Linked DNA regions of Coturnix japonica. The protein of the gene in region 2 purifies or fractionates together with the protein of the main gene of each other region. This does not show direct contact. Links are inferred from orthologs where the notes say so. Each region holds a gene or a part of one and is shown on either strand. Other genes may lie near its edges.

Region 1 (4,240 bases), on a different chromosome or scaffold from region 2:
GATCTGCACAGCACCTCCTTAGAACCGTAGAGAATTATTAATATTATAAGACATCATCTACCTGTCTGAATATTTCAATACAGTGTCAGCCAGCTGGAAGATTTCAGGAGGACATTGTGCTTGATACTCCACTTCAAAGCACAAATCCCTCTGAAATCGGTGGCTTCAACATACAGGCTGCTGCTCTTTAGTGCAGTCTGCTACAGGATGCTTGTAAACTGCTCATAACTATCATAAAATGTATAATTTTACAGCACAATGCCATAACAAATTCATGAGAAGGCACTTGAACAGTTGTCCTGCAATCTTAACTGTAATAACCATTAACCTACAATTGCTTGATTAGGAATGTAATTGCATTTTGCTTTGCAGCATTTACCAAAGCAATAAACAGCAGAAGGGGCACAAAGACCATCTGCCTATGGGCTCATGAGGGTTAGATTTGACATTAGGTTATATTCAGTTCCAATACAGAAAGTCACTTGCAATGATAGTTATGTGCAGTAATTGTTTCTCCACTGTCTACCAAACATGCAGTACAATCCAGCATTTAAAAAATTACACCAGTTCAACAAGCAAAGTACTAGATACTATCATCCAAAAGCAGAGCAAACCTAAATACCTTCAAGATGTGAGTTTTCAGTGTCTGACATCCAATTACAAGCCTAAGGGAGATACCTGACCAGAAACATCCCATCCTCTGGAAGCTATAGACTGTATGCCAATATAGGGGCACTTCCACAGACTAAGTTTCTCTTCCCAGAAGAAACCACTCTACTGGTGTGGCTAAATGCCTCCACATTCACAGGCAGGATGAATCTGGACTCTTCAAAGGTACAAAGGGTGTTAGAAACTCTATCTTTTAAAACATGAAATTCCTTTGCTTACACCATTTTGCATTTTCTTCCTACAAATTGCAACTAAATGGATGCAAGAGGTATTTTGACAAACCAATCACAGTTCTGAAGATGCTGTTGAGCATCTCTGCTGGCTGCTGATGTAACATGAATCTGGCAAAGCATTGTTTTTCAACGTGCCCGTGGTTCTTTCAACAAACATGTGCATTCCTTACTCTCACAGTGCCACAGTGACATGCTCATCAAGGACAGTGGCAACCACACAAACACTGCACTTCTTCCCACCTTTATCACTGAACACAAAGGAAAACAGAATGAAGGACACACAAAGCAACTCAACAGCATTAAGGTAAATCACCTTGGACCTAATCCAAAGCCAATGGATTTTTTTTTTCTCTTTCACTGAAAAGACTTCTCCTCTACTGCTATCCAGCCATACTGGGGGGAGGGGGGGAATTCAACAGAACCATGGCATTTTAAGATATATGTGACATTATAGACATATCTCTGTATCCTCTATTCTCTGTCTGAGTACACACACTGATTTCATAGAATGAGAGTTCATGGAAGGTAAGCACTTACTAATCCCTTTGTCTTTTGAAGCAATCTTCTCTATATCCTTCAACTGGAACACATCTTTCTGCATAAAAAAAACCATAAAAGACACTTCAGCTTCAAACAACAGCATCCGCTCAGCCCATGCAGCTTTTACACTACACTGATGCCAACAAAAGCAAGTAGGAAACACTCTTTATATTTTGCTGTGAAAATATGCTGCATATCCCTCAGTAGAATTAGAAGATTCTGCAAAGTGATAAAGGATACCAAAGGAAAGAGCTTCTGACTATAACATCACAGAACTTTGTCTAAAGTTAGAGTGAAAACCCCTTGGCACACTGAGCCAAGGTTAGGTTGTCCGTGCTGGATACACTGCTTTACTCAAACACTCAAGGGTCACAATAACATTTTAAAAGGTGAGATGCTGTGTTTTATGCACGTCACCAGTATATCCATAGCCCTGCTTTTGGATCTCCAGGTTTCTTCCCTCCATCCGTACTGATCTTTTTAATGCTGGGATTTCTCCCACCTCTGAAACTTCATGACCTCTCATGATAACAGGCTTGGCATGCAAAGATGTGGCTCCAAGAAGAAAGAGCACAATGAGCAGCTTCACACCACCACTAAGCAGCCACCTGAGCTGACACTGCATGAACCCAGTGCTGTAATTTATACACAGGTGACAGAGGGCATGGAGGAGAAGCTGGACGTGCACAGTGCCTTTACAGCAGGCAGGAGTAAATGGGACTGTCTTCCCATTGAGAATAAACGCAGGGCAACTCTCAGCAAGACACTTACTGTCTCAAAAAAGATCTCCATCATTCGAGCTCTCTTCTCCTCAAAGCTCAGTCCTTTTTTCTTGGACTGGAACAAGAGAAAAACAAACAAACATATTCTACCACTCGCAGAATTAATGTTTGCTGGAAATTCCTATCCCATTAGCTCTAAATTAGCTGTGTCCCCTTACAGAGCCTTACTGCTAAGCCCAGCTCCCACTGCAGCACACAGAGCCTGAGTTCCCAGCCTGGACCTTCATCGCACCTAACCCAGCTCCAGTCCCACCGTGTGCTGGATACGCCACTGGGAAATGCCGTAAAGTACATTCAGATGCGGAGCATCGCTACTTATTCTGCCGTAATGGCCGCCGGGCCCCGGCCCGGGTCCAGGCCTGTCCCCACATCCCTCGGTGGTCCCCGGCCCCCCCTGCGGCCCCCAGCCCCTCGCTAACAGGGGGCAGGGAAGGGCCCCACCGCCGCCCTGCTTACCATGGCGGCCTCCGGGAGCCAGTTTGATTTCGGCGCCACCCGGAGGGGACAGGCCGCCTGCGCGGCTCCAGCGACACCTGGTGTCAGCTCCTCTGCGGTACCGGGAGCGAGCGGCAGGACACGTGGTGACGGGGGGAAGCGGCTTCCGGGTGCTTTGTAAATGGCTGGTTTTGGAATGTATGAAAAATAAGTGTTTTGAAAGGCAATGGAAGGCGAAAAGGTTAAACACCCATGGGACTGGCAGCAAAACAGTGCTGCACTGAAGTTCAAGGCTGGAGAACAAGAAGGTCCAAGAGGAAGCTGGCCATTTACTGTACAGGTTTCCTGGTATTCTCTATTTCCGGCATTCTCTACTCTTGGCGTCTTGCTTACCTGCATGTCTGATTTTGCCCCGTGGCAAAGAACCTCTGCTGTAATAATACAGGGAACAGAAGACATTTCTGGCCAGTCAGTGAGAACTCACACTCATTTCTTGAAGGATTCAGCTGTAGAGAGCTCAGCAGTGACAAAGCCATCGTGCTGCATTAGCCTGGAGAAAAGAAGGCTGTGGGGTGACCTCATTGCAGCATTTCAGTACCTGAAGGGAACTTATAATCAGGAGGGGAATAAACTATTTGAAAGGGCCAATAATAGCAGGACAAGGGGAAATAGTTTTATGTTGATAGAGGTAAGATTTAGGTTGGATGTTAGGGGGAAGTTCTTTACTAGGAGAGTGGTGAGGTTCTGGAACAGGCTGCCCAGGGATGTTGTGGATGCCCCATCCATTGAGGTGTTCACGGCCAGGTTGGATGGGGCCCTGGGCAACCTGATCTAGTAAATGTGTATGTTTGGTGGCCCGGCCAGGCAGGGGGGTTGGAGCTTCATGATCCTTGAGGTCCCTTCCAACCCATGTCATTCTGTGATTCTGGAGATATTTTCAGGGACAGCGAGTACGAAACATGTGACAAATTCTCAACAATAACAGAGGAAACAAGCTTTATTTTTATTATTTGAAACTTTTGTGCGTGGTAAAGGTACACATTTGACTGATTTTCCTACATTTCCAAGACAGAGTACTTTTTATCATCGGCTAAAGCATTAAGAATGCTGTGGCACACAGGAAGCTAAAACTACACACGCACACACACACACACACAAACACTTTGATGTGCATCTTTCATACTTGATGTTAAGGAGTAAAGTTTGTATTTAGCCTCACAGGGATTGAAAAAGAAAGTAAAAACAATGAAACAAAAACAAGTGAGAATAGTATTCCATCATAAGTTTCAAGAGAGTGCAAGACTTACATGTACACAAAACATACGAAACTGACTTTAAAAGGTGGAATGTATAAAAGCTTTTAAAAAACAAAGAGGAGAGATAGGATCTTGGAACCGGAAAGCTGCAGCGTATCAACTGGTAGAGATTTCTAACGTGGGGATACTGCCATATACGCTGTGCAGCTTAGGGAACATTCCCATGTCATAAAGCCAAAGCAAAAAGTGTCAGGGTTAAGGCCGTGTTGCTCACAGACATCAACCAAAGTTCTGTACATTCATCAGAAAGAACGCAACCAGTGAG
Region 2 (4,332 bases):
TCACGAGGCCAATAAGCAATCACTTCCCTTCTGGTTTTCTGTTGTGTATCGTGGAGGGGAATCCTGGAAGGAAAAAGCATTGCACAGTTACCTAGGTTGTCTCTTGTGTGAGCATGAGTAATGATACAACCAGTCCCGGCTGAGAAGTCAACTGACCTGTGACTCTGTAGCTTCGCTTGGATTTTTGAAATAAACTGTGTTGGTAATTCAGAGGGAAAAGGCATCGATGTGATTGCTCCACAGTCACTCATGCCAGGATGCTGCTTCCTCCAAATTTCCTCACCTACGACAATTAGTCCAGTGTCTGCAGTTCTAGAGACCACTAAATCAGACCGACTTAGCATCACTGGGAGCAATCTTGAAGCCGATCTTCTTGGGGCTGTTATGTGATAATGGGATTGGTTTCCCTTCAAACTTAATGTCTGGGACTTAATGCTGTTCTGTCTTTAAGACAATCATTCCCTGTCCCTAAAACATGCACAGAAATCTAATTCTCTCCCAGCAATATTCAGCTGTGGGTAGAAACAAACACCTTCCTCCTGTTGTGAATGCGATGGTGTACAGCCACAAATGTTTGTGACTTTATTGGCCACTCATCTCCAGTTCAAGCTTTCTAGTGATGCTATTTTGTAAGAAACTTAATGGCAATAAGACATCTACTGTGAAGACTAGAATCCCGCAAAGAACATCCACATGTGGCAGCTGTTCTCATGTTGCTTTCTTAATGGACTAACAAATAGTAAAACCTTCCTGTGTTGTTCCAGAACACGTTCAGCATGGACGGCAGCAATACGACGTTTCCCTGACACTGCCTCTCGGGGAGATTTTCTGGAGGACAGAAGCAGACTGTCCTGTGTGGCCAGTTTTGTTCTGGGCTCCCAGGACAACCTGCTGCTTCCCAGCTTTGTACAGTCGAGAGCAGGAGCCGAATGGAGGACGGCAGCTCGACCACGAGTGACTGAAGAACTGTTTGTTGTGGTCACTGAAACCAGCAACCCACAGGGGAGAGACGTTCTTCAAGCTGGATCGCCCAAACTTTCCAGCCCTTTCTGAGTCATTGAGCTTCCCCATCGCTTTTTCTAAGCCATAGATACGGATCATTCACCTCTTCAGGGCAGCTCCCATCTGTGTGCTTTGCTTTTCCTTTGTTGTGCTCTGAGGCTGTTGGCCGCACACTGCGGGGATCGGCCTCGGGGGTGGTTTATTGCAGCCGTGACCGAGGCTTTATTTTATTCTGCCATAAAATCTTCCTTTGCACCTTTCAAGATGCAGCTCATAGTGACACAACGGCCGCGGTGGGAGCGGAGGGAGGAGCTCATGGAGCTGAGCTGGGGGACACGGGCCGTGCCGAGCTCACGGCTGGGATTAAATCCTTGGTTCATTCGGTTCGTGTTGTGGTAACTGGGTTCAATGGAGCCGCGGGGCGGAAATGGCGGCGTTGGGAACGGCCCGGGAGCAGCGGCTGTGCCCGCGGCCCGGCCCGGATCGTTCCGCCCCGTTTAAAGCCGCCCCGTATCGGGTGAGTTGACGCCGACAGCGGCTGTGGGGGAGCGCCCTGAAAGCGGGACGGCCACGGCGGCCACAAAGGGCACCGGAACTGCCCGAGGGCCGCGACCGGAAGCGGGGCGGAAGCGGGGCGGAACAGGAAGCGCCTCTCCTTAGCGGTGCGTCGCGCCGGAAGTGCGTCACAGCATCTGAGCGGGGCGCGGGAAGAAGATGAGCAAAGGGCGGGAGGGACCCGAGGGGAGCGGAGGGGAGCGGGGAACGGAACGGGACGGGACGGGACGGGACGGGACGGGACGGGACGGGACGGGACGGAACGGAACGTGAACGGGGGGGGGGGGACGGAACGGACAGGAGCCGCTCCTGGGCGGACACGGTGCGAGCGTTGCTGTCCCGCAGGGCCCGGTGCCGTCGTGCTGCGTTACCTGCGGGAGCAGAACCGGCCGTACAGCGCGCAGGATGTGCACGGGAACCTGCAGCGGGAGACCGGGATGGGCAAAGCGGTGAGCGGGAAACGGCCGGGAGACCGAACCACGGAGCGGGGCTCAGTGCGGGAATGGCGGTGTCTGTTGGGGCTGTCGGTGTCTGTCGGTGCTCCCGGTGTCGGTGCTGACGTGGCTCTGTCCCGCCGTCCAGGCCGTGCTGAAGGCGCTGGAGCAGCTGGCTCAGCAGGGCCGTGTCCGTGAGAAGCCGTACGGCAAACACAAGATTTACTTCGCCGACCAGGTGAGACCCGGCACCGGCCGCGCCCCCCGCCCCCCCCGGCCCCGCTGAGCCCCCCCCGCCCCCAGGAGCAGCTCCCGGCCGCGGGCGATGCGGAGCTTCGTGCGTTGGACGCCGACATCACCGCGCGATCCCGGGAGCTGCAGGAGCTGCTGAACAACTGCCGGCAGCTGGAGGCAGGTGAGCGCCCACACGGCACCGACCGCGGGCGGCCGTGGGCACCGCGGGGACCGGCCGAGCCGGTGATCGGCGCCGCCCTCCAGAGCTGAAGGAGCTGAACGGCACCATGACCACGACGGACATGGCCCGGGAGGTTGAAGAGCTGAGGAAGGACTGCAGCAGTTACACGGAGAAACTGGAGAGGATCAAGTCTGCCACCAACCACGTAACGCCAGAGGAAAAAGAGAAGGTGAAGAGCTGGGGGGGGTTGGGGGAGTGAGGAACGTAGGAACGTACAGCACAGTCTGCATCGAGGCTGCTCAGAGCAACTTGGAATAGCACAAGTTGTCCTTTCCTTGCAAATCTTTGTCCAGTCACTGGGCGCTACCAATCCATCTCCTGGCTTTGAGCTCACAGACACTCAATGCAGTGGCTGCTGGCTGAGTTGTTCTCACTTTGCCTTTCCTTTGACAGGTCTGCAGCGAGCACAAGCTGTACTGCAAGGAGTGGCGGAGGAGGAAGCGGATGGTAATGGTTTCCCCATTGAACGTGAGGTGGGCAGAAATGTCAGTGGCAAACCCACAGTGACAGTGGAGCGGGCACAGTCTTTTATTTGTTCTTGGGGAAACAAAACAAGCTCTTGCATCCCTGTGCAGGGGTTAATGTGGGAACAGCTGTGTTGGCTCCCTGTATGGGAGGCAGTATCCCACAGCTGTGGCAGAAAGCTCAGCATCAGTCCTGCAAATCTCATCTAACTTCTCTGTCCTGCCAGGCAACCGAGCTGCTCGATGCCATCCTGGAGGGATACCCCAAAAGCAAGAAGCAATTCTTTGTAAGTCCCCCTGCTTCTGCTTGTGTCCCAGGGCAGCTGCGCCTGCTGTGTCAGAGGGCAGCCGTCTGCTACAGGAGCACTTTGTCCTCGTGCAGGAGGAGGTTGGAATAGAAACTGATGAGGAGCACAATGTTACACTCCCAGCAGCTCTGTGAGGTGCAGGTGGATCTCATTGCTTTACAGAGAACACATGGTGGTGGATCCAATGCTGAAACTCAGTTGTTGGGTTTTAGGTTCGTTTTCTTCTGTAATTTTTTTCCAGGGCTTGTGCTTGTTCTGCACTTTTATATATTTTTGTTTAAAAGTGCTTTGCCCCTGGAAGGGAAGTTCAGAGCAATTGACTCAGCAGTGGACCCTCTCCATTTTGGTTGGGCTTCTTCACTAGGCAGTGACTGGGAGGGTGTAAGAGCACTGGGTTACAGGGATGGTGTGTTGATAAGAACAGGAAGGAAGCACCTCACGGAGGTGAAGGAACGAATTACCATTATGGCCCATATTTCTGTAAACTCCATACATGGAGGGAGCTGCTTCCCACAGTATGTACAGAGTTGTACACAACCCCACGATTCATTAAACACCATCCTTCTGTTCCAGATGTGCTCTGCTGTGGTGTCTTCTGTGTTGAGAGGGTAGCAGGGCTGGCCTTGGACGTGGTCCGTGAGCCACAGCTGCAGTGGGTGCAGCCCTTACCTGATCCCATTAAAGTCTCCAGGCACACAGCACCAGAAATAAAAGCAGAAGAGCCATTAAAACATTCAGCAAAATTTATTTAATCATTTTCCATAATAGAAAAATATGTCACTTTCACATATGAGGTCTGTAAAAATCCGCATCTTCCTCTCAAGGCAAGAGGTTGCATCTAAAGGAAATTAAGCTGTGCCCTGTACGTGTCATCAGTTGTGTGCGACACCACAGGGTCTGACTCCTACTGGGCTTCTATTGTATTATATCCAAAAGGTCACAGGGTTTGGAAAAACAATTTCATCTAAAAATCAACCCCACCAAAAAGCTTTTCTTCATTTAAGTCAAACAGAAGCAACAGCTTCAACCATCTCCAGCTGCAGCATTCAAAAATCAAGCAACCCGGAGCTGAGAAACTTAGCATTACCTCATCT

The links. The genes of interacting proteins can lie anywhere in the genome.
Region 1: the proteins of PSMC3IP (region 2) and MND1 purify together in Homo sapiens (co-immunoprecipitation; 6 studies listed by BioGRID and IntAct, counting the BioPlex papers as one, with this or other methods). This does not show direct contact. The link is inferred for Coturnix japonica from reciprocal best matches to the Homo sapiens genes PSMC3IP and MND1.

Annotation. Positions count from the first base shown.
Region 1 is NC_029519.1:17,741,079-17,745,318, reverse strand, and holds the start of MND1 (meiotic nuclear division protein 1 homolog), read right to left. Parts: upstream 2,803-4,240; 5' UTR 2,684-2,802; coding exon 2,681-2,683; intron 2,280-2,680; coding exon 2,214-2,279; intron 1,498-2,213; coding exon 1,440-1,497; intron 1-1,439. UniProt on the Homo sapiens protein: Required for proper homologous chromosome pairing and efficient cross-over and intragenic recombination during meiosis.
Region 2 is NC_029542.1:4,582,413-4,586,744, reverse strand, and holds PSMC3IP (homologous-pairing protein 2 homolog), read left to right. Parts: upstream 1-1,491; 5' UTR 1,492-1,716; coding exon 1,717-1,753; intron 1,754-1,902; coding exon 1,903-2,006; intron 2,007-2,139; coding exon 2,140-2,229; intron 2,230-2,294; coding exon 2,295-2,406; intron 2,407-2,489; coding exon 2,490-2,635; intron 2,636-2,859; coding exon 2,860-2,913; coding exon of another isoform or gene 2,914-2,939; intron 2,940-3,157; coding exon 3,158-3,217; intron 3,218-3,312; coding exon 3,313-3,372; 3' UTR 3,373-3,812; downstream 3,813-4,332. Other genes in the region: RETREG3 (reticulophagy regulator 3), read left to right, coding at 1-15. UniProt on the Homo sapiens protein: Plays an important role in meiotic recombination. Stimulates DMC1-mediated strand exchange required for pairing homologous chromosomes during meiosis.